Linked DNA regions of Astyanax mexicanus. The protein of the gene in region 2 interacts with the protein of the main gene of each other region in a pairwise test. Links are inferred from orthologs where the notes say so. Each region holds a gene or a part of one and is shown on either strand. Other genes may lie near its edges.

The links. The genes of interacting proteins can lie anywhere in the genome.
Region 1: the proteins of exoc1 (region 2) and trim9 interact in a two-hybrid assay, tested with the Homo sapiens proteins (2 studies listed by BioGRID and IntAct). The link is inferred for Astyanax mexicanus from reciprocal best matches to the Homo sapiens genes EXOC1 and TRIM9.

What each region holds. Positions count from the first base shown.
Region 1 is NC_064414.1:38,991,001-39,001,962, forward strand, and holds the start of trim9 (E3 ubiquitin-protein ligase TRIM9), read left to right. Parts: upstream 1-6,251; 5' UTR 6,252-6,379; coding exon 6,380-7,276; intron 7,277-10,962. UniProt on the Homo sapiens protein: E3 ubiquitin-protein ligase which ubiquitinates itself in cooperation with an E2 enzyme UBE2D2/UBC4 and serves as a targeting signal for proteasomal degradation.
Region 2 is NC_064408.1:63,949,776-63,961,046, forward strand, and holds the start of exoc1 (exocyst complex component 1), read right to left. Parts: upstream 4,635-11,271; 5' UTR 4,448-4,634; intron 2,765-4,447; 5' UTR 2,757-2,764; coding exon 2,633-2,756; intron 2,480-2,632; coding exon 2,349-2,479; intron 1,775-2,348; coding exon 1,615-1,774; intron 1,171-1,614; coding exon 1,153-1,170; intron 453-1,152; coding exon 265-452; intron 2-264; coding exon 1-1.

The sequences.
Region 1 (10,962 bases), on a different chromosome or scaffold from region 2:
GCAATGAATTTGTAGATATGAGCAATGAATTGAGGCACTGTGGTCAGCACCAAGATACTATAAATGGTTTGATCATTTTAGTCTTCATTACAGGAACTTTGACAGCCCAACGTTACATTAATAACATCCTGCTACCAGCAGCTCTCATTAAGTTCATCATGGACCAGGATCTTACAGGAATGTTTCCAATCTTCAGGAATCTGTGCCATGAAAAACTAAAGCTGTTTGAAGATCAAACAAAGGCTCAATTTTGTATTACTGTAGTCATTCTAATAGTCCTAAACATGCTTTGTGAGTGTACAACACATTGTGGAGGCGTTGGAACTCAGCTTTCTCCAGCTTGTTGCCATGACCACATGCGCTTTGAAAAAGAGCTCATTGAGCAGCATTTTATTAATTAGGAGAAATGTGTGCATTGGCTAATTTCCCAGTAAAGTATGCGCAGTAGGTGCGCTGAAGAGAGCGTCTGTCCATGGCCAGCTTGTGTTTGATCACTCTGCCACATCCATAGGTCAAATGAGATGCAGCAGGTGCAAGGAAGTTGTGGTGGGAGGAGCTTACTGAACTTCTAGTCACATGCTGGAACCGACCCACTTTTCCACCATCAGAATAAAAATCATTAAGCGATTAATTACCCAGTAATCCCTCCACAGACGCAGAGGCACCAGAGAGAAGCACGCGCACCACACTCACATGGCTCTCACCAAGCCCTCACACACTATAACACACACACACACACACACACACATACAGGCACCATCTCTCCACCAACAACACGCACCGTCCACCCACATACACTCACTAAATCGTTTCAACTTACTCATGTCCCAATCACACACATACAAACTCACGTTCCTCACAGACATTTCAATACGCCCCCACACCTGCCTTTTACAGATCTGAATTCACTGATGAAACGCACACACACACACACACACATACACACTCTAGAAGCTTCCTCAGTGAGCTCTGCATGTTTCAAGCTGTTGCTGATGCGAGCCAGAACTCTCTTTCTCCTCTCTAGTCCATAAAGATGTCTGCACTCACATAATTACAGCATTCAGAGGCCAGCGCTCTTACAATTTCTCTGCTGGCAGTTACACTGTCTGTACCACACACACACAAACACACACACTGTCCTCAGAATCACTCCCTATTACAGGAATAGTGCTCTATATAATGTATGTGTCCTTATGTCCTTGATATATTCCAAATATATTCTAAAGTCTGTAAACACTCTGTATAATATATTCACTGGCCAAAAGTCTGTCAATCAGTGTGTCAATTAATCATGAAGTGCTGCCGTAGAGGACAGCTCGAGAAAAGCCCACACCTGGGTAAATAGTGAGGTGTTTTCTTGTATGTGAGCTTGAACACTGGCCAGCAAGCTCATAGCAAAGCAACGTGAATTATCAGTGTTTAAAAAGACCTGACCCGCGCAAACAAACAAGCAACTCTGGCAAAAATCACATCCACATTTAATCCAAGAGACCCACATGACCTACAGGTCAATGCAGCATGACCCACTTTGACCTAGTTTACACGGGATATGACAAATGTCCTGGGACACAATACTAGCTCATGTCCCATGATGAAGTCAGCCACCGCCTGCTGCTAATGTACCATTGCGGAGTAACCAGTGCGCTCGGAGGAAAGTGCAGCGCCTCGGCTCCGAAACATCAGCTCACAGACGCCTTGTGCTGATCGACATCACCCTTTGGAGTGATGAGGGGAAACAGTGCCATCTACCCACCCAGAAAGAGCAAGGCCAATTGTGCTCTCTCAGGGCTCCAGCAGCTGATGGCAAGCTGCATGACCGGGATTTGAACCAGCGATCTTCCAATCATGTCCCATGATATTTGGCATGTCTGGTACCTTTGACAAGTTGTACTGTTTCTATTTATCATAAATTTAGCGTTTACACATTTAAAAGTGTAGAAGCTGTATGTAAATTATGCCTAAAAATCAATGTAAAAAACTAATATATATATATCACTGACATGCCAGAAGTCATGGGATAGCACTATGTAAATTAATCATGAAGTGATCATATAAACTAAGCTTTGATGGTCAAGGTAGTTGAAAAGTAAAAAAGTAAACAGTAAAAAACATGCCCATTTTTCTGTTTGCATGGATAATTCTAGCAAGGCGCCACTGGTCACGATCATTACCAGCCACTGTGCTGTCCCCTGTGGGTGCTAATTATATGATGTACATATTTCTGCTACACATGTGACACTATATGTGTTAAAAAAAAATGTGGCACTTTGCCAACAGCACACAGACATGAGCGTTTCCAAGCCATCCCCCGAGGTAACACTTCATGATCAATTTACATCTGGCTATTCCATGACTTCTGGCATGTCAGTGTATATACTGTATATGTCACAGAATTTGCAAGTTACCTGTGTGTTTGTATGTGTGTGTGTTGTGGCTACCTAATCACACTGCCTCCTACCAAACTCCACCACCCGATGGGTGGACCCTTAAAATGCCAGCATGTCGTTCTGTTTGAGTGAAGGCTATTTCTCTCTTTGCTGCTCTCTCGTTCTGCACTCAGCCAGGTTACCCTGGAAACACGGCTGAAGGCAGGAACAATGGGACAAAGTAAAGCTGCACTCATCAGGATCCAGCGCTCCAGAGAAGAGAAAACACTCTAACTCAGCACTGTTGACATTTCTGGCCCACAGACAACAAACTGAACTCTCATACAGTATCTCACCATTACAGCATTAACACCTACAGATAGTGTGCAGCACTCGTCCTCAGCGCTTACGCCTCACACCTCACATACACATTACGCACACTTAAGCCTGCTATTAACTCACAGTACTCTCCGTAACCCATAATACTGCATGTGCATAGTGCTCTTCAGTAGGAATTTGTCAGACAAAAGTGCCCTGCTTAATAAAGGGGCTACTACAGTATGCTGCTGTACTCTCAGCTCCTTTATTCACCTTTAAAAAAAACTCCTGCCTTAAAGCACATTCTTTTATTTCTTCTCATTCCCTTCATATTCACGTCATACACTGCATTCATAATACCAAAACTAACCACAAAGTTACACTGAAGAGTTCATTTGCAAAAACACATAAAGGTCTATTTAAAGAAGAGCACTTATCTGTTTTTGCAAATTAACTCTTCAGATGTTCCTTGTTTCTTGTCAGCATTCCAGTGCATACACTGGCCTTATATTTAGGTAAATCATTTTATGTCATTTATATATGACAGTTTATGTATGCATTTTTTTTCTTTGCGAATTTGGCTCAGGAAGTGTATTTAATGCACTCAATATTCTGACCGTAATTGGGTTTCTCCAGTTATGTAAGTTATTGTTTATTTTTCATTTGCACAACATGTCAGGACATTCCTGCACTAGAATGTTTATGCTAATTATTATATACATGTAAACAGCACACTTTGATTTTTTTTTTTTAGAATGCATTAAGGCCTAGGCCACTACCTGCTAGTGAGCTACCACATCATGTGGGAGACTGGGGTTCAATTCCCAGTCTGGGTGACTATGCCGCGCTACACCAATAAGAGTCCTTGGGCAAGACTCCTAACACTACATTAGTCCACATCTGTGATAGGAATAATCCTTATTTGGACAATAGAGACACACTCTAACCTTGGATAGGTTACTTTTTATTAAATTATTTGATAAAAAAAAGTTTGTTTACTGGAACTGTACTTAATTCAACTTCACAATTTTGTGTTATATCAATTGCTATGGTCAAGCAAATAAAACAGATGGAAAAAAGCTAGTTGCAAGTCTAATTCAAACTAATTGTAATTGTACAATGAAAAGTTAGGGTAAAGTTATTTAAGATTTAGAATTTTATAGGTGAGTGTACATCAGCATCATCATGAAGATCAACATGTCCAGTTCCACTGTGGATTTATATGTTTGGAATTAAAAGTGTACATAGAGCTTTTTGACATTGTAGGCCTGTAACAAATCAGTACGGTGGCCGAGAAAGCCCAGCGCAGTGCAAATTGAAAAGCGCTGCAAAAGCACAAAACACATTCATCAAAATTACAACACAGGCGCAGCAAATAGAAAAACGCGCTGCAAAAAGAAAAACGCGCTGCAAATAGAAAAACGCGCTGCAAATAGAACCACAACACAACGGAAGTGAGTCACAACACAACAGAATTTTCCCGGGGGACCTTAAAAGATGCTGTACCAGCTGTATACAAAGGACAATAAGTGGCAAACAAGCTTCTGAAAAGTAAGTTATGTTTATTACCTGTGATTACCACGGTTGTGTGCATATTATTAAAAGTTCTGCTTCACAAAACGCCTTGTTTGCCACTTATTGTCCTTTGTACACATAGTGAAGTCCGAGACGTTACTGAAGACGCAGCTTAGCTGGTACAGTATCTTTTAAGGTCCCCCGGGAAAATTCCGTTGTGTTGTGACTCACTTCCGTTGTGTTGTGGTTCTATTTGCAGCGCGTTTTTCTAGTTGCAGCGCGTTTTTCTATTTGCTGCGCCTGTGTTGTAATTTTGATGGATGTGTTTTGTGCTTTTGCAGCGCTTTTCAATTTGCACTGCGTTGGGCTTTCTCGGCCACCGTAAATCAGAGAGTAGAAAACAACTGCCAAACTAATTAGCCACCAGAAACTTCCAGGAACTGAGAAGACCTGCAGAAAAGGGCCCTGCGGATGTGTCACACTAGATGTAAATGCCATTTTAAAATTATAATTGAATCCATGCACCTCACCCAACCATCTGTTATGCAAATTCCTTAATAAGCAATGTCACCAGTAAAGCTTCATGGAGTAGCTGAAATTTAACCTGGGTGCCCTTCACATTTTGCCTCCTCAAGACTCAGCAGAATAAAACTGAGGAACTCTGTAGAGTCAGTAACAGCAGACACACATATTAAACACTCCAAATAAACTGCCAGTCACATTATCTCACTTGTCTTCTTGCAGCTGCAAACCAATTTCTTTCTCCAGTATAAAACACACTTTTCCAGAGTTAGGGGGCATAATGATCCATGCTAATTTTAAAATACTGTTCACAAGCTTTCCTTGTACTTCTAATCTGTGTGTCTTTAGTGTGCTTATCCCTAATGTTTTATATTCACATCAGTACACATCTCCAGCATTCTGGAGATCCTGCTTTTGTGGAGTAAACATTTCTACTGTCCAGGGACGACTTTCCACCAGATATTGCATTAATGAGATCAGGATGCTGAATTGTCACCACTCTCATTCTCATCCTCATCTTCCCAACTCACCTCAGTACTGAAATGAGTGTCATTATTCCAGAGAACACTGTTCCACTGATCAATACTAGTGAGATTTATACATCTTCACTCCATGCCTGACATTAAACAATAGGTTCCTGTTTATCTGCTCCAGAGAGAGCTATTTTATTACCAATACATCTCTATGGAAACTATAGAAATGCTTTGTGTGTGCATTTCATTGTAATCTCAAGTATCTCAAGATTCGTCGATTTTAGTTTTCTATATAATTTTTTTGAACACACAAACTGATGAATGGACCAATAGATTTGATGAATGGACCAATAGAAATAATCCAAAATTACCTTAAATAATCTCTTTGACTTCCATAAAAAGTTAAGAAGGTTTTATCTCTCTCCTGTAAAGTTGCTGTTTTGGAGATACATGTGTTTCATTGGACAGTTACGGTTCCCACATATGTCAGCAATAGATGCACAAATTTCCTTTACTTTTTGTGCTATGTTTATAGTTGAAAGTACCATATATTGATGTCCTGCTGTGCATGTACTCACTGTTTTTTATAGCTTTTAAATACTTACTATTGTTTTGTATTACTGTTCTGTATTGTGTAATTACTGGCTACTGGCTGCTAAATTACCATCTGAATCAATAAAGTATCTATGTATGAATCTATCTATGTATCTGTCCTACTGAAGAAGTGTTAGATAGATAGGAAAGATTTGGGACACAGCATCGGGAGTGCAGGGGCTGCAGAATACCTCCTCACCTAATTCGCTTTATGGTCACGTCTTGAGTCGTCGTGTCTTTTTTTAAGTGCTGTGTGATGTCTCGGTAGGAGTTTAGTTTTTTTGTCTGGACGCCGGCCACAGCTTGCTGCTTGCTGTTTGGCTAAGCCGTTGAATATGGCAGCTGCCTTGACCAATATCTGCTTACTGTGGGCTTTAGTTAGTGATGTAAAGCGCATCCTCCGCGGTCGGTGATTGGTCGAGGCTGTGGTCCCGCCCCTGCAGTATAAATCTCCCCTCCTCCGGGTCTGTGCGCTCATTCCGAGGAGAGGGGGCTGCGCGCGGACGGAGGGGAGATTTACAGCCGGGGTCTGTAGCGCTTGTTTTGTTTTTCTTTACATTCCCGGTTTTTTCCCACCGTTTTGGAGCCACTATGGAGGAGATGGAGGAAGAGCTGAAGTGTCCGGTGTGCGGCTCGTTTTTCCGCGAGCCCATCATCCTGCCCTGCTCGCACAATATCTGCTTGGCGTGCGCGCGGAACATCCTGGTGCAGACGCCGGACGCAGACTCGCCACAGAGCGCGCGCGCCTCCGGCTCCGCCGCGTCCGACTACGACTACCTGGACCTGGACAAGATGAGCCTGTACAGCGAGGCGGACAGCGGCTACGGCTCTTACGGTGGCTTCGCGAGCGCGCCCACCACGCCGTGCCCCAAGTCCCCGAACGGGGTGCGCGTCTTTCCGCCGGCCCCACCGCCCCCCCAGCAGTCCCAGCAGCAGCACCTGCTGCCCCCGCCGACCGCGTCCGGCGCGCCCCCTCCACCTCCCCACCCTCACCCTCATCCCACCGCCATGATGATGATGATGATCCCCCGAAACGCCTGCCTCACCTGCCCGCAGTGCCACCGCAGCCTGACGCTGGACGACCGCGGCCTGCGCGGCTTCCCCAAGAACCGCGTGCTGGAGGCGGTGGTGGAGCGCTACCAGCAGAGCAAGGCGGCGGCGCTGCGCTGCCAGCTGTGCGAGAAGACCCCGCGCGAGGCCACCGTGCTGTGCGAGCAGTGCGACGTCTTCTACTGCGACGCGTGCCGAGTGCGCTGCCACCCGCCCCGCGGCCCGCTCGCCAAGCACCGGCTCGTGCCACCCGCGCAGGGGCGCATCAGCCGCCGCGCGAGCCCGCGCAAGACCTCCACATGCACGGAGCACGAGCTGGAGAACCTCAGCATGTACTGTGTGCAGTGCAAGATGCCCGTGTGCTACCAGTGCCTGGAGGAGGGGAGGCACTCCGCGCACGAGGTCAAAGCGCTCGGGGCGATGTGGAAACTGCACAAGGTGAGGAGGGGAAGGAAAAGCTGTGTGCACTTGTGCGTGTGCGCAGAATAATGAGGAACACCTCCAATTAGGTCTACTATAAGCATATCTACAGGTTGTAATCTGTATGTTATCCTGGAAAATGTATTTTGTTCCAAAGATAACCAATGTTCGACCTTTTATGGGTAGCCAGACAGTTTTATTCATGAGTTCCATGTTGGAACCATATGTGGATATGAGTGATGGGACCAGAAACAGGGGTTCCATTTGTGTTGTACACTTCGTATGATGTCTAGTAGGATGTTAATAAAATTAATGTTCTAATGTAAATTTCAAAATGGGATAATCAAGATTGCATAATTTACATATAAGATAATATATTAGACTTTGTTGTCCCCAATGGGGACATTATCCTTGAAAAAAAAAATACACACAACACTCTATACAACATCACATATTTACATATCAGAAATATTGCATAAACCCTTGACCTTGCTACTATTTGCATATTTTACACATTCCCTCTGACCCAACACAGACTGTGCTACACAACCCTAGACCTTACTTATATTGCACATTTTATCAAACAAAACCATGAGCGGTATTGCACATTACCTATGCTTTTTACTTAAGAGCTTTATAGAAACTGGCACAAATGAATTCCTATATCTATTGAGCTGGCATCTTGGCATCCTGTACCTTCTGCCTGAGGGGAGGAGTTGGTATTCATGGTGAAGCACATGAGATGGATCAGCCACTATTTTCTAAACTGTCAGTGTGAATCTCAGTAGATAGATGTGCTTCTGTCAGAAATCTATAAAAACTCTTTTATTTGGCAGTGGTTTTCTTTACATGTTTAATTAACTGAAATTAACATGTAATAAACCATGTTTATTACAAAAGCTGCAGGCAGGTTTAAAGGGGGCTGTTTACAGATCACTTTTTTTCAAATAAAAAATAGAAGTTGTTATGTAACAACTAAAATCGTTGTTGGGAATAACTTGATGAATATCAAGATTTTTACAATATGGCCCAGCCTCACCTTCAAGATTTAAGTTGGTTGTTATGGTCCTTATTTGCAAAGCTCTACTGGGTAACAGCACATTCAGTGCTCATGCCCACTCGGAGCCTACCTAGACCACACTGCACCCATGCGAGTCCAACATTAGCGTGTTCCAGTATAGTCAGTCTGTGTCATTAGATAGTAAGAGTTAGAGTTAAGAGTGATTCACCAGCTTCAAATATGTAGCTAATAGTTGGTTTGCAGTCAGGAACTGTCTCAGGGGTCAATTAGAAAATCTGTCACCCTGCAGGTAGGTTAAGGATTGGTGATATCTTCTGATCAAGATAATAAAGATCTTCAGTAGCATCTGAATATTGGAGCCAAGCAGATAGATTTAAACACTCCATGCTGATAGATGTCCACTCCTGGGATAGAAGGAGGTCACTAACATTAATTTATCACAGCAGTAGATCTTTGGTTCTAACTTTTTCTAACTTGTACTCACTCCAGCTATGCCGAGCTGCAATGTTGCAATAAATTGAAAAATCCATGCCAAATCTGGTAGCCATATTGCTTCTGGCTGAGGAAACTTTTCGAATGCATTCTGTAAAGAACCATCTATGACTCAGCAGTGCACTAAAGCCATGTGGGAATGATTGGATTGAATTTAAATTAAATAGAAGTGTTGTTAGGAGTGTAACAGTGCAGACTGGAGGTGTCCTCAGATTGAAGAGAACCTCACTAAAGGCAAAATATTCTTGATTTTCTCCTTTTGGTTTTATCCTAGTGGTTTCCGGTTTTGGTCTTGGAGTATACCCTATCTGAAAGTTCATATTCAAAAAGTTTTAAAAGAGAATCAATATTTGGTGGATTAACCCTGGTTTTTAATCACAGTTTTCATGCATCTTGGCATGTTCCCCTCCAGCAGTCATGCACACTGCTTTCGTAAAACTTCATGCAACTCCTGGTGCAAAAATTCAATCAGTTCAGCTTGGTTTGATGGCTTGTGATCATCCATCTTCCTTTTGATTGTATTCCAGAGGTTTTTAAATTGGTAAAATCAAAGAAACTCATATATACCCTCATATGTACCCTATCTGCAAGTTTGGTCTGTAAGGCTATGTTCAGACTGTAGGCAAATCAAATCAGAAATGCTGAGATGACTGTCTGCACTATTTATGTGTAATTGATGAGATCAGATATGCCTGTCTGGATATAACATATCTGCATGGGTTGCTGTTGTAATGATGTTGGCATCAGTAAATAATCTTTGGCATTCTTCTTGGACCCGCACACTTACGTTACTCTGGATTTGATAAGGCTGTTGTTTATTGTGTTGTGAATGACCCGAAAAATAAATGTTAAAATGCAATCTGAGCATATAGAGCATCCACACCGAGTTACATCTGTACAAGTCTGATTGTAATTGCACAAACCCAAAAGTAATTGCGCAATCTAGATTTGCAGATTTGTAAGTAGATTTGGGCTGGCAGTCTGAACATAGCCTAACACCAACTTCTACTAACCAGCTAATCTCCAATAAATATGCCACTGTTAATACATTTGTTGTGCAGAAGCATTGTAAAAGTAGTGAAAACACAAAAATCTGCAGAGCAGGGGTACTTAAGCAAGAGCACTGAGAAGCACTAGCCATGTTTATCAGAGACTGGGCTATAGAAGGTAATTTGTCCCTGTCAGGTTCTGAAATAGGGGTTTCACTCACTGAGCAGAATTCCTCTACCCCATCAAGAACCCTGTCAAGACAACAGCTATGAGTCTGTGATTGTTGGTCAGTAATGTACTGCAGTGGGACTGCATTCAGAGTGTTGACCGTTTAATAAGTTGTGACAGGAATATGCCAGTGAAGAGCCAAGACGGCGGGAATGTTCATGTTAAAATTCAGAGCACGAGCGAAACGGAGCTCGCCGTGATTCAGACCCAATAAAACAGAGCGGATAGGGGGGAGAAAGCTGTTATCTGGGTGAACAAAACATCTCTGATCATTGCACTGTAGATGCTGTGATTGATGTAGAAGACTTAATTCAGAGAGCACACTTCAGAGTGTGAAGGAAGTGTTGCTTGGGCCCAATCCCATGTTACCCCGTGCCCTTATCACTTAGCCCCAATGTCCCGATTCTTGTTGGGATAGAGGGGGAGGTGTTATGGCTCCATTTAAATGGAGATTTTTTAGACGTGCATTCCAAAAAGAGGGTTATGAGAAATCACCAACAAGATGGCTGCTCAAGCGACCATAGAATGTAAAATGTTGATAAAAATTGCATTATTTTAGTTTAAAGTAGTTACAATGTAGTATGAAACTTTTCTTCATAAGAAGCAAAAACAGACACTAGGGAAGCTATCAAGTAGCTGACCTTAGCTTGTTATCACCAAGGAATTATGGGTAGAGGTAATGCTCTAAATAAAGTCCAGCATTAGTAAGGTTGCTGAAATTTACAGCTCCTTTGCTATGACAACAGACTAGCAGGTTCACCTACAGAGCATTGCTAGTAGCCTGCTAATGAAGCATTTTTCTTTATATTTATTTTTGATGATGTATCAAATTCTTGAGGAGTTGTCCCTTTTCTTGAGGGAATTCAACTACTTTTCCTTGTAACTTAGTTAAATGTAATGTTGGCACTGGAAAACAAAAAGAAGGGGTACAAATGAGAAATTAGATTGGGCCTAAGTGCTACTTGGTCACTCA
Region 2 (11,271 bases):
CCTAGAGGATAGAGAACAAGAAAAGGTTAAAAGGAAAGGATGGAAGATGACTTTTAGCTGACACATAATAATATGTGTATAACATTTGTATAATTACATATAAATAAATCATTTATTATACAATGTAAAATAAATGCACTACCAAATGATCCGAATAACTGTTCAAAATAGGAATTTGTGTTTGTTGCATCTCAAGCAATGAAGCATTACTGATTATCTTATGCAATCCTTTATGTCTGCAGTCCAGATCCAGACAGCACTCACCCCATCCAGGACCTGCAGCTCCCGAGAGAGTTTCTCAGCGAAGGCTTCGGCGTTGGAGATGGCACATTCACACACTTCCATCATGTTCTCAATGTCCTGCTCCTCCCGTGCATTCAGCTCCTGGTAGTCATCCAGAGCATCCTCATCACCCCCGGCAACACTCTGGCTCTCGCCACTGGGAACCGACTCTGTGGAGGAAATGCAAAATGTGTAAAATGTGATTCCTAGAGGTTGTGCAGAATGTCTATGGCACCTCTGATTATGGGCTGTGTACTGGTAAGAACCTGCCATCCAAAATCCACAGGGAAAAGAAGAACAGCAAAACTCTGCTACCACCGAATTGCAACTCTTTCATAAAGTCAGGCCTGATTACCAAACCTGTGTAACCTTATAACTGTACTGATAAGCTTGGGAAGAAGCTACTGTAATTCTATACATGACTCCTTTGTCTGTTTCAGTGTCCCACCTTTCACACACCTTACTTTAAAAACATGCATCTCACTAAGTCAAAATTAATAAATCAAAGAACATAATTTCCTGAAACATACAAACACATACATATGCGTATGAATGCTATTCAGAATACATATAGGATCTGTCAGGGCTGTGTGATTCCTAATTAATAGAGAACTATAAATGTATGAACTCAAATCTCTTTTCACATAAATACACAATTCCCAATTTTTTGCATAATAGCAGTGTTTGTATAAAATATAAAACATGGTTTGTATTGCACACAAAAAGTGATGTATGAAAAGTATGAGAGTAAACTCAAGACAAAACAAAAACTGTTACAGGCAGGGCTGAAACTGAATGATGGAAAACAGAAAAAAAAATAAAACATGGATGGAAATGAAGAAAGTTATAGAAATCGGGTACAGTACCAACCTTCAGCTTTAGGAAGTTCTGACCAGTGAGAGATTTTAAGAGAAGAGTACAGAACATAGGTTATAAGAGTATAATTCCACTCACTTAAAGACAGACAGACAGAGAGAGGGAGGGAGAGAGGGAGAGAGAGAAAGAGAGAGAGAGAGAGAGAGAGAGAGAGAGAGAGAGAAAAGGGGGATGAGTAAGCAAAAGGGAGAAAGAGAGGAGAGCAACTGTGTGAGAGAGTTCAAAGAGAGCAAAAGAAAAAAAAAAGAGAGATTTTTAGTCTAAACTACATTTTATATTAATACCAAATTGTCTCTAATCTCTAAGAGTGACAATTACACTTACTTCCTGCATCTATTAGTAACAATGCAAAATCTTTAATAACATGTTGTTACTACAGTACATGCATCATGCTAGTTATAACACATCTCCACCATTAAACCTCAGCGCTCAATTAGAAACAATAGTAGGTTCTACCTTCCAGCAGCTGGGAGCTGACATTTACAAACTCCACTTTCTTTCTCAGGTAGCGCTGATTCAGCTTCCAGATGCAGGAAATAAAGGAGTTCTTCTCTGCTGTGCTGCTGGCCACCCAGCGATACACTTTCTCAAAGTGTAGGTCAAACTCTGGATTCTCCTGCAGGAAGTCAAAGTAGACGATAAGACAGAGAGAATGGCTGGAAACAGAATCTCTGAATCTTCTGAGGGTGCAACGTGGAAATTCTCAATAATCCTTGGATCAAAACGAACACGTGAAACACACTTGCACATTTGTAGTTGTTCCATCACAGACAGTCTATCTTAAATTAAACTATTTGTTCTTTCGTGTCTGAATTGGCATTTTCAATACAAATTTTATTAACAAACTTGAATACTAGTAAGAAACAACAGTAAAACAGATTAGTCAATACCCAAACAATAAGAATGATTCTCAAATTATTTATTTCTTATTGTATATACAAATGGATGCAACAAAGAACAACAGCCAGATTACATTTTTTTTATATAAAAATTATGTCAATGTTAAAAACACGATTCTTGCAGGCAAGATCATTTTTATGACGATGTGAAAATGCAATCATTTTTTTTTTTTTACTTAATTTAAGATGTTATTTATCCAATTCGTCCTCTTATTATTACTATTATGTGATACTATTTTGTGTTATGTTAATATTACAGAATGTGAGCTTGTTTTAAATATAAAATCTCACCTTGTTAGCATCTTTGGCATCAACCTCAGCCAGGTCACGAAGCTCCCAGGCCATCTGTCTCTTGTAAAAGTCTCCTTTGTCTGACTTCTTTACTTTTACCACCCTGACCTGCACTGGGCGCTCCGTTGTCACTGGAACAGAAAAAATTAGTAAATTTGCAGTGACATTCCCAGTTACAAACTGCCATGAATAAATATTAGCAGTCTCTGAATTCTACAACATTACATAATAATCTAATATCAGACGCGTTTTAAACTGGTGTCTCACTACGCATCATTCTTTACCTGTGGCACACAGGAAACAATTCTTCTTCTTCTTCCCGGCCTTACAGACGTTGACGATGCTAAGCAGGCGCTCATCGTTGGGAGTAAAGATGTCCCTCTGGAGAGCATGCTTTATGGCAGTCATTTTGCCTCCTAGAAAAGGTACATTCTGATTACAAACTCAAAAAGGCATGAGTATAAGGCTGGTTTGGAAGAAAAGAGATTCTAAAGCACTTCCTAAAGTAGACGAACAAAACTATAAGATTATTATATGTCGAAGACTCTAAACTCTGGTGTCACTTCTTAAATTTAAATAGCTGTTCACCAATTTTACATGATTCTATTGTAAAATGTTAAAATACCTTCTTTTAGGTGGTATTGCACAGAAAACACACGCTATACTAATGTTTGAAAATATGACAAATCTATATTTCAATATATTTTTTTAATTTCGGTCGATATCATACAATTCTGATATTGATATGAACAGTAAAAAAAGCCACCACCCCTGGTGTATGTAATTTCACAGTGAGAGCTGGGTGATATAGTAAAAGTATATATATATATATATATATATATATATATATATATATATATATATATATATATATATATATATATATATATTGACATATATATTGTCTATATTACAATCATGAAATTACCTTACGATTTATTGTCCCAGAAATTATTGCGATATATGATATTTATGTAATTTTAGGACTATTAAATGCCACTGACATAATGAAAACAGAATAGCATAAAAAAGTAATTATACACTTTTTAAAGGAAAAAAAAAAACAATTTATTTTAATTAGTCTGGGAATGATATACTTATTTCTTCACCTACTTTAGTTCACACTGTGTGTATGTTATGGCGTCACAGTTGTTAAAGCATGACTCGCTAAAATACTATTCACTGTTATATGTGTGGACAAACATACAAAAAAACACAATAGACGATATCACGATTATCAAAAATTATTGAGGTTGTGTTAATTTATTATACGATAAATCAATATTGCAATTATTGTGACAAGCCAGAACCAGTAACTTTTAAAATGTCTATTATTAAAACGTTTAAAATAATTATTCATATTGCAACTTTTAAAATAATAAAAAAAAAATCTAAAAAATAATAATAATGCTTATTATTGTTGTCCTTGTGCTATTATTATAGGAAAAAATCTCAATATTCTTTAAATATATGCACGATTCATCATTAAGATATTTAGTTTTTAGACACATTCAGTTTATTTTTTCATTTGTTCATTTGTAAACAGAAAGCACACTTTAACATTAAATGCACTGGTCAGCCGTAACATTATAAACCAATACCCTAACAACACCAATCCTCTATGTTTGTATGAATCATTTGAATAACTAATGTTTTCTTTGTAAAACAGAAAACCAAGAGCCTACTGAATAGCGGATAACTACAGATACTTTAAAAGTGGATCCCTGCTTGGCAGCACACAGGGATGTGTGGTGGAGATGGCAGGTGGATATCTTAGTTTTGACATGTGTCACATTAGACTGATAGCCAGCCAGCCAACCTAGCGTAGCTACCTTAGCTAGCTAAACTAGATTAGCTACAATGCTAACAGATAGCTGAGTTAACTATCTGACATCTTGAGAGCTAACAAGATGTACAAATTCTCTGTCTGCACTGCCCAGTTTAAAGTCATTTCTTAACGCCACACGATTTCCTGACTGTCCGAATGACCCTGAGTTGTTGACTCTGTTTGTTTAAATGAAGCTAACCCAGCTAACACTGAGCTGCAGGACTTCCCCCGGACAGGCCGTGTTTACCCGCTAATAATAATAAGACCTCACCTCAATACAGGGCCGCACAGCCTCCAGCACAGCGAACAACAGCGGTTTATCCTTCACACAACAAACCCCGTCCACATTAACCTATAAAAACAGCGCTAACATTACTGTCTATTTCACGGCCACAGCCCAACCTGCTCCACCATCACAACAACAGCCCTGTTTCCGCTGCGGAGCTCCTTCAGCTGGAGCTCTGACTCCGCTCCCCGGCTCTCTGACTGCAGCGCGGCCTACCGGCCCGGAGCCACTAATAACACTCACATAGACATTATATACATTTACATCATATACATTTACATATATTTACATATATACAGTACAGGGCAAAAGTTTGGACACACCTTCTCACTCAAAGCGATTTCTTTATTTTTTCATGACTATTTACACTGTAGATTCTCACTGAAGGCATCAAAACTATGATAAACACGTGTAGAGTTTTATGTACTTAACAGAAAATGAGCTGGAATCCACAGTCACCGGACCTGAACCCAGTCCAGATGGTTTGGGGTGAGCTGGACCGCAGTGTGAAGACAAAGGGGCAACAAGTGCTAAACACCTCTGGGAACTCCTTAAAGACTGTTGGAAAACCATTTCAGGTGACTACCTCTTGAAGCTCATTGAGAGAATGCCAAGAGTGTGCAAAGCAGTAATCAGAGCAAAGGGTGGCTATTTTAAGGAAACTAGAATATATATATATATATATATGTTATTTTACCATTTTTTGTTAAGTACATAAAACTCCACGTGTTCATTCATAGTTTTGATTCCTTCAGTGAGAATCTTCAATGTAAACAGTCATGAAAATAAAGAAAACGCATTGAAAAAAAAAGGTGTGTCCCAACTTTTGGCCTGTACTGTACATTTCTACATATTTATACATATTTATGTATAAATGTCTATGCTCTCACATATAGCCACTGCTGTGTGAGTCGATATTAAAGGACCAATTTGTGGGACATTCCAGGATTTTGGTACATTTCCTGTCCGACCACTTAAATTTCAAATGTACATATCCAAAATATCTAAATGACTATTTTTTGTGAAAAATGTACTTGTTATAAGACAAACTGTAAAATATGGTGGAAAAATAAGCTCCTTATATATTATTCAAAAGAGTTTGGACCACCTCAAAAAATGGCTGTTTTCTCTTGTCCCACACATTGGGTGACCAACTCCTTTGGCAAATTTAACAATTAAAATAAGCTCTAAATAAATTACTTCCTCTTGTTGATATGTGTCCCACAACATGCGCGCAACCCTGTTACCATAAGGAATTTTACCTGGCAGAGAAAGAGTTAAAAATATTTGTCTACTACCACAAAGGAAGTTACATCACAAGGACATTTTCTGCCCACATGGCAAGACCAAGAGTAAGTGCTCTAACAATTTTCCAAATGTCCAAGTTGTGTGTGTCACTCAGTGAACGCAACCCTGTTACTCATGTTGTAAGACTAATAATGAGTATAGTCAATTTTTTCTTTATATAATTATATAACCATGTTTGTCCTTGATCTTGTATACACAGCTAAATTTTACAGTTAGCATCTGTTCCTGAGGTAAACCACAACTTAATTTAAAAAACTGCTTTGATACCTGAGCTTGACAAATCAAACTTTTTGATAGTCTATTACCTGTGTTTAATAAATATATGACTAAAATGATCAAATTGAAGATCAAATTTTCAGAAGTGACCATCTCTGAAATCCTGGAATGTCCCATGTGTTATATTTTCAGATTTTGCAGGTTAACTAACTAGCTAATGGCTTATATTAACTCACCATCACAATTAAACATTGTGAATACATACATTAGCTAATCAACAACTATGCTTGCATTGTAAAATTCATCATGAGCTTATTTTGCACTTGTTTGTGTAGGAGGGGGTGGGGCACATAGCAGCTCTTACCAGTACTGTAAAATTGAACTGTGGTAGCCATTTTACACACTTGTGGTCATTTAAGCAATAATACACGAGAGGCAGTGCGGCCTGTGGCCTAATGCCTAAAGCAGTGCCAATATTACACGCTATATCACAAACCTCGAGTGTATTATTGCGATTATACCACAGCTCTTTTATGGCTGTTTATTTAAAAAAAAATGTAGTTAAAGAGGATAAGAAAATGCAATCTATTTGGTTATAAAAGCAAGTTAAAATAGTTCCATTGTTGCTCTGTTTGTAGCTGCGCTGTTTGGCTTGTACCAACCGGCTGATAATGGCACTCACAGAACGCCTCGCAGCCAATCACATTGCAGGGTTGGAACTGTGGTTTCTTTTAATAATTATTTAGGCAGTAACTTAATATATATTTTGTTAAACCGGTGGTGTAAAGTGGTGGTAAAAAGTGCAAACATATCATGTCACATCATCAGAAATAGTTAATTTGAGACATACACATTTGCTTCTGTTTTTTACTTGTAATGTTTGTAAATATGTCGCTATCTAAAAAATTTAAACTTGGTATCACTGTCTGTCAGATGTAAAATACAATTAATTTAGACCTACTTTCTCCTTTTCTGTTTCTGGTAGCCGCTCAGATATCATGCCCAAATGGGGCCTGTGTGGGTAACCCAATAGGAAAACAGAAAGTTTGGTCCATGGGTTCCATGTTGGCCCCACATATGGGTATAACGGTTGACCCTATCGAGGTCAGTGATAGGACTAGACGTGGGGTATGCACACCATCCACTGCAGAGTTTCTGTTCAAGAGTGGTAAGTTTCAGTACCAGACAGCTACATTGTTAAAAACTAAAGATACTAAATGTTTTACTTCCAGTCATGTAGTTGTAGAATCATGTTTTTCATAGTTGTCTTTGTTCACACTAGATGTAGATAATGCAAACGATGCAGATGAAGATTCTTTCTGTGGAGGTTGATGTACTGTATATGGACTCTATAATGCCTGAGCATGCTCAGTTAACACAACAGAATTACACACCTGTAAACTTTATATTTGCGAAACATGCAGCTGTAAGTCATTTTTAAAGCAAACTTGTTTTTTAACTTGTGTAGTCTGATCAGAAGACAAACCATGGAAAAGTGAAATATCAAAACATACAGCCGTGTTTCTGTGATGACTCAGGGTCATGACAGTCCAGTGTGGCCTGAGGAGATGACGGGTAGACGTGGCAGCCTGATAAAAGACAAACACTAAAGAGTGTGATGGTGACATTTCACTTTAGCAACACTTCTCACCTACACACAGCTGACTGTGACTCACACAGCATGTTGTATTTTTTTTTTATTATTATTATTATTTATTTATTTTTTTTATAATGTGTTTTTATGTTTTTACCAACCATTTATATTCTGGGTCCCCTCAGTTTCTCTTCTCAAGGGGTGATTATTGTTAGCAGGTCATTACAGTGAAACATCAGTGCTATGATAATTTTTTTTTCTTTTTATAGGGGTATCTCCAGTGTTCCACCAGTGAGACACAGGCAAGACAAGAGAGTTGGTCAAATCCTGTACAGTATCTGGAGGAGTCGGCAATAGCTGTTTGACTGGGACCTTTCTAGACTATTTGTTGTACAACACAATATCTTTTATTAAATGTAGCCCAGTCTTTTTTGAGAGAAAGGTTGTGTAGCTGTTAGAAGTTGTTAGTACGTTAGAAGTTGGAATGCAAAAAACTGAAAAGCCTCAAACAGAGGTACAAGATGAGATTCAGAGAACTGCTCTGGAATAAAAACTTTACTTTTAATTATAAGTATCTTATTTATAGTTTACTTAAAGAAATATGGCTACAGTAGTAATTTCTGCAGTGCACCTGAGTTTCCAGTGGTCCTCCAGTGGGATCAATGTCTCCTTAACAGCCAACAGTCAACACATAATGTGTTGATGACATAGGTTATAAGATGAAATATGGTTGACTCTCTAATTACAACTGTAATCATTTATTAATGTTATTTTTATTTATTTCATGATCTATAAGTACTCAAATAGCTAGTCTGTGATACAGTCCTTTGCTAATAACTCTTGCACTTCAGTCTTTAGTGACTTCAGTATAGAAAAAGATGCATTTTTAAATATTTTGAGTAGTGTCTGTAAAGAATTTGCCTCATTTTGCCTTGGTTTAATCAAGAATAAAACAAGAAAATATTGTGGGGGGTCTTAACATTCGCCACAATCAACTAGTTCTAGTAATGGCCTTGCCTTTCCTGATAACGGACTTGGACTTGTTCTTGCTCTTACTGAGAAAATAAAACCTTCTCGAAATAAAACTGCTGAAGCTGTTGGCATGCTCTCAGAACCGTTACATTATTTAATGTGTTTGGCAGTACTTGGATGGTCAAAATCATAAAACGCTCCAACTTCTAAGCCTGAACTTTGATGGTTTGGAAAAATGTCAGTGCAGATTTTTGAAGTGAAAACTCACCTGTATTTACGTATTTAGCATATATTGTCAGCATACATTTTTGAGACTTTTGAAAAAATGTGAATGTAAAAATATATTGAATGCCAAATGCAAGTCATAATTATTAAAAAAAAAAAAGGTTTAAAAAATGCTCATAGAAGAGAACTTTTATTCAGTAATGAAAATTGCCATTTATGAATTATTTAAAGTGTGTGACAGTAATCAATGCCTGCAGTAAACTTTTCATCCACTAAGAGGAGCTGTCTGCAGTCACTTTGTGAACCTGTGTAGGGGGAATGGTGCTTGTATGTAACATCAAATGATTAAAACCGTGGAAGAGATCTGTAAGAAATGTAAATGTGTAATTCAGATTTAAAGGTACACAATTACATCTTAGATACATGAACAGCCCTTTACCATCACCATCCTTGTCCTTTTACAAGCTGGCCTATTTCTAACATACTCAGAATAGCGTAATTGGTGGTTTTGTCAGTGGACTATTCATATTGTGATTGTAGTTTATATGTTTTGCTGTTATTATGTGGATATTAGTCTTGGTGAGGCCTATGTAACCTTTTGTTGAGATCATTTGTGTAATTAAGTCTAGGATTAGGCTGATATTTTGTCATTAGCTTTTCTGTGGTAAAGGTTATGAAAGCATTTCTCTTGTTCACCTCAGAAGGGTGTATATTTTGTCTGCTGAAGCTCATTAACTTACTTACCTAGGAATCATTTAGGTGACTGAATGTTTTGAATATGCTGTATTCTGATATATTCAACAGCCAGTTTGGTCATTGTGCCTGTGAGACAGACCTGGATAATGCACTAAAGAGCCAATTTTTCCTTCCGGCTGTTCTATTCAGGCGTATTCACAGTCCTTTATAGCTGTGCTATTTCAGTGTGAAATTAGAGGTGAACTCTAACCTTTAAGTGACCTGAAAAAACCCTTAACTATAGAGTGACCATCCACTACTGCAGTTAATTTACATCAGTGTTGCTCACCTGGCTCATTTATTTTCAATGCTTTTACACAGTTTAATCAGTAATATAACAAAGTTAAATCAGTGTTGAATTATGTGTTTGTTTTGAAAGGTAAATCAACATTGACATTGCAACTTTGTTTTAACATCTTATTTTTTAACATTTAACAAATAATAAATTATTTTCCTTTATTCTACATTGTACAATCTTGAAGAAGATGGTTTTTCAAGGGTTTAGTAGAACCATCAATTTAAATTAAACACTTTTTTCTAATAATTGTCATATTTGTATGACTAAAACATTACATGGTTTCCAAGTTAAAAAGTATTTTGTTAACATTTTCTCGACCATTTAAAATAACCCGTTGTTTCAACATTTTTTTTACATTAAAACTGCAATTGGTATTTTTTCCACCACATTTTAAAATAGAAGGTCGGTCATGGGCCGGAGATGCTAGCTTATGCTAGCAACCTAGCTTATTAGGTAGACAGGCAAACAGACAGACAGCTGCAGGGATCTTAAAACGGAAAAAGGAAATGGATGTCTGGAGGAAAATGCTGCTGGCTCATTTTACTAAGATGAAGGTGCTTTATTAAAATTCAGATTTCTACATTTAAACTGATTTCTATAGAACAAGTATTGTCACACGCATACAAACAAAAACACTGAAGTGTCCTACGTTGGTCCTTTAAAACTCTTAATCTCAGACCTCTAAGATTCTGTGGTACTTTTGAAAAGAAACCATACCTTACAACTGAAAACCTGCTATAAATTTAATAATATTAAAGTGTTGCACAAATATAATAAAGTATAGTATAGTACCAGTCAAATACTTTACATTTTTTTTTCTTACATTGTAAATGAATACTAAAGTCATCCTGACTATGAAACAACACATAAGGAGTCATGTAGTAACTTAATGTGTTAAAACAAACCGAAGTACTCTGTGAAGTATTTAGGTGCTCTTATCTGTGGAGCTGTTAACTTTCTAAGGCTGGTTACTCTAAAGAAATTTTCGTGTGCAACAGACGTAACTCTTGGTCTTCCTTTCCTGGGGCAAGTTTTCCTTTTCCTGAGCCAGTTTCATCATAACATTTTTGATGGTCTCTGTGACTGCACTTGGGGATACTTTCAAAGTCCTTGACTGACCTTCATTACTTAAAGTATATATTTTTTCTTTTTTTAGTAGTTTAGTTGTTCTTGCCATAATGTGGATTCCTCAAATAGGGCTATTCTCTGTATACCAACTCTACCTCTTCAACCATTTTTCTTGTGAGCAAAAGTATTGAAACACGTAACTGTCAGGTGTGTTTTGTTGCCCAAGTGTGTCTTAATATATTGATTAATCAAACAATAATCAGCACTGAATGTCTACTTTTAGTTTCAGATTTGGGTTTTGCCTGTGCAGACTGAACATTTATAGTTAGAGGAGTAAATAACATGAAAATCGGAGATCTGTCTATGGGTGAAAAGCAAGCTGTGAAGCTGAGA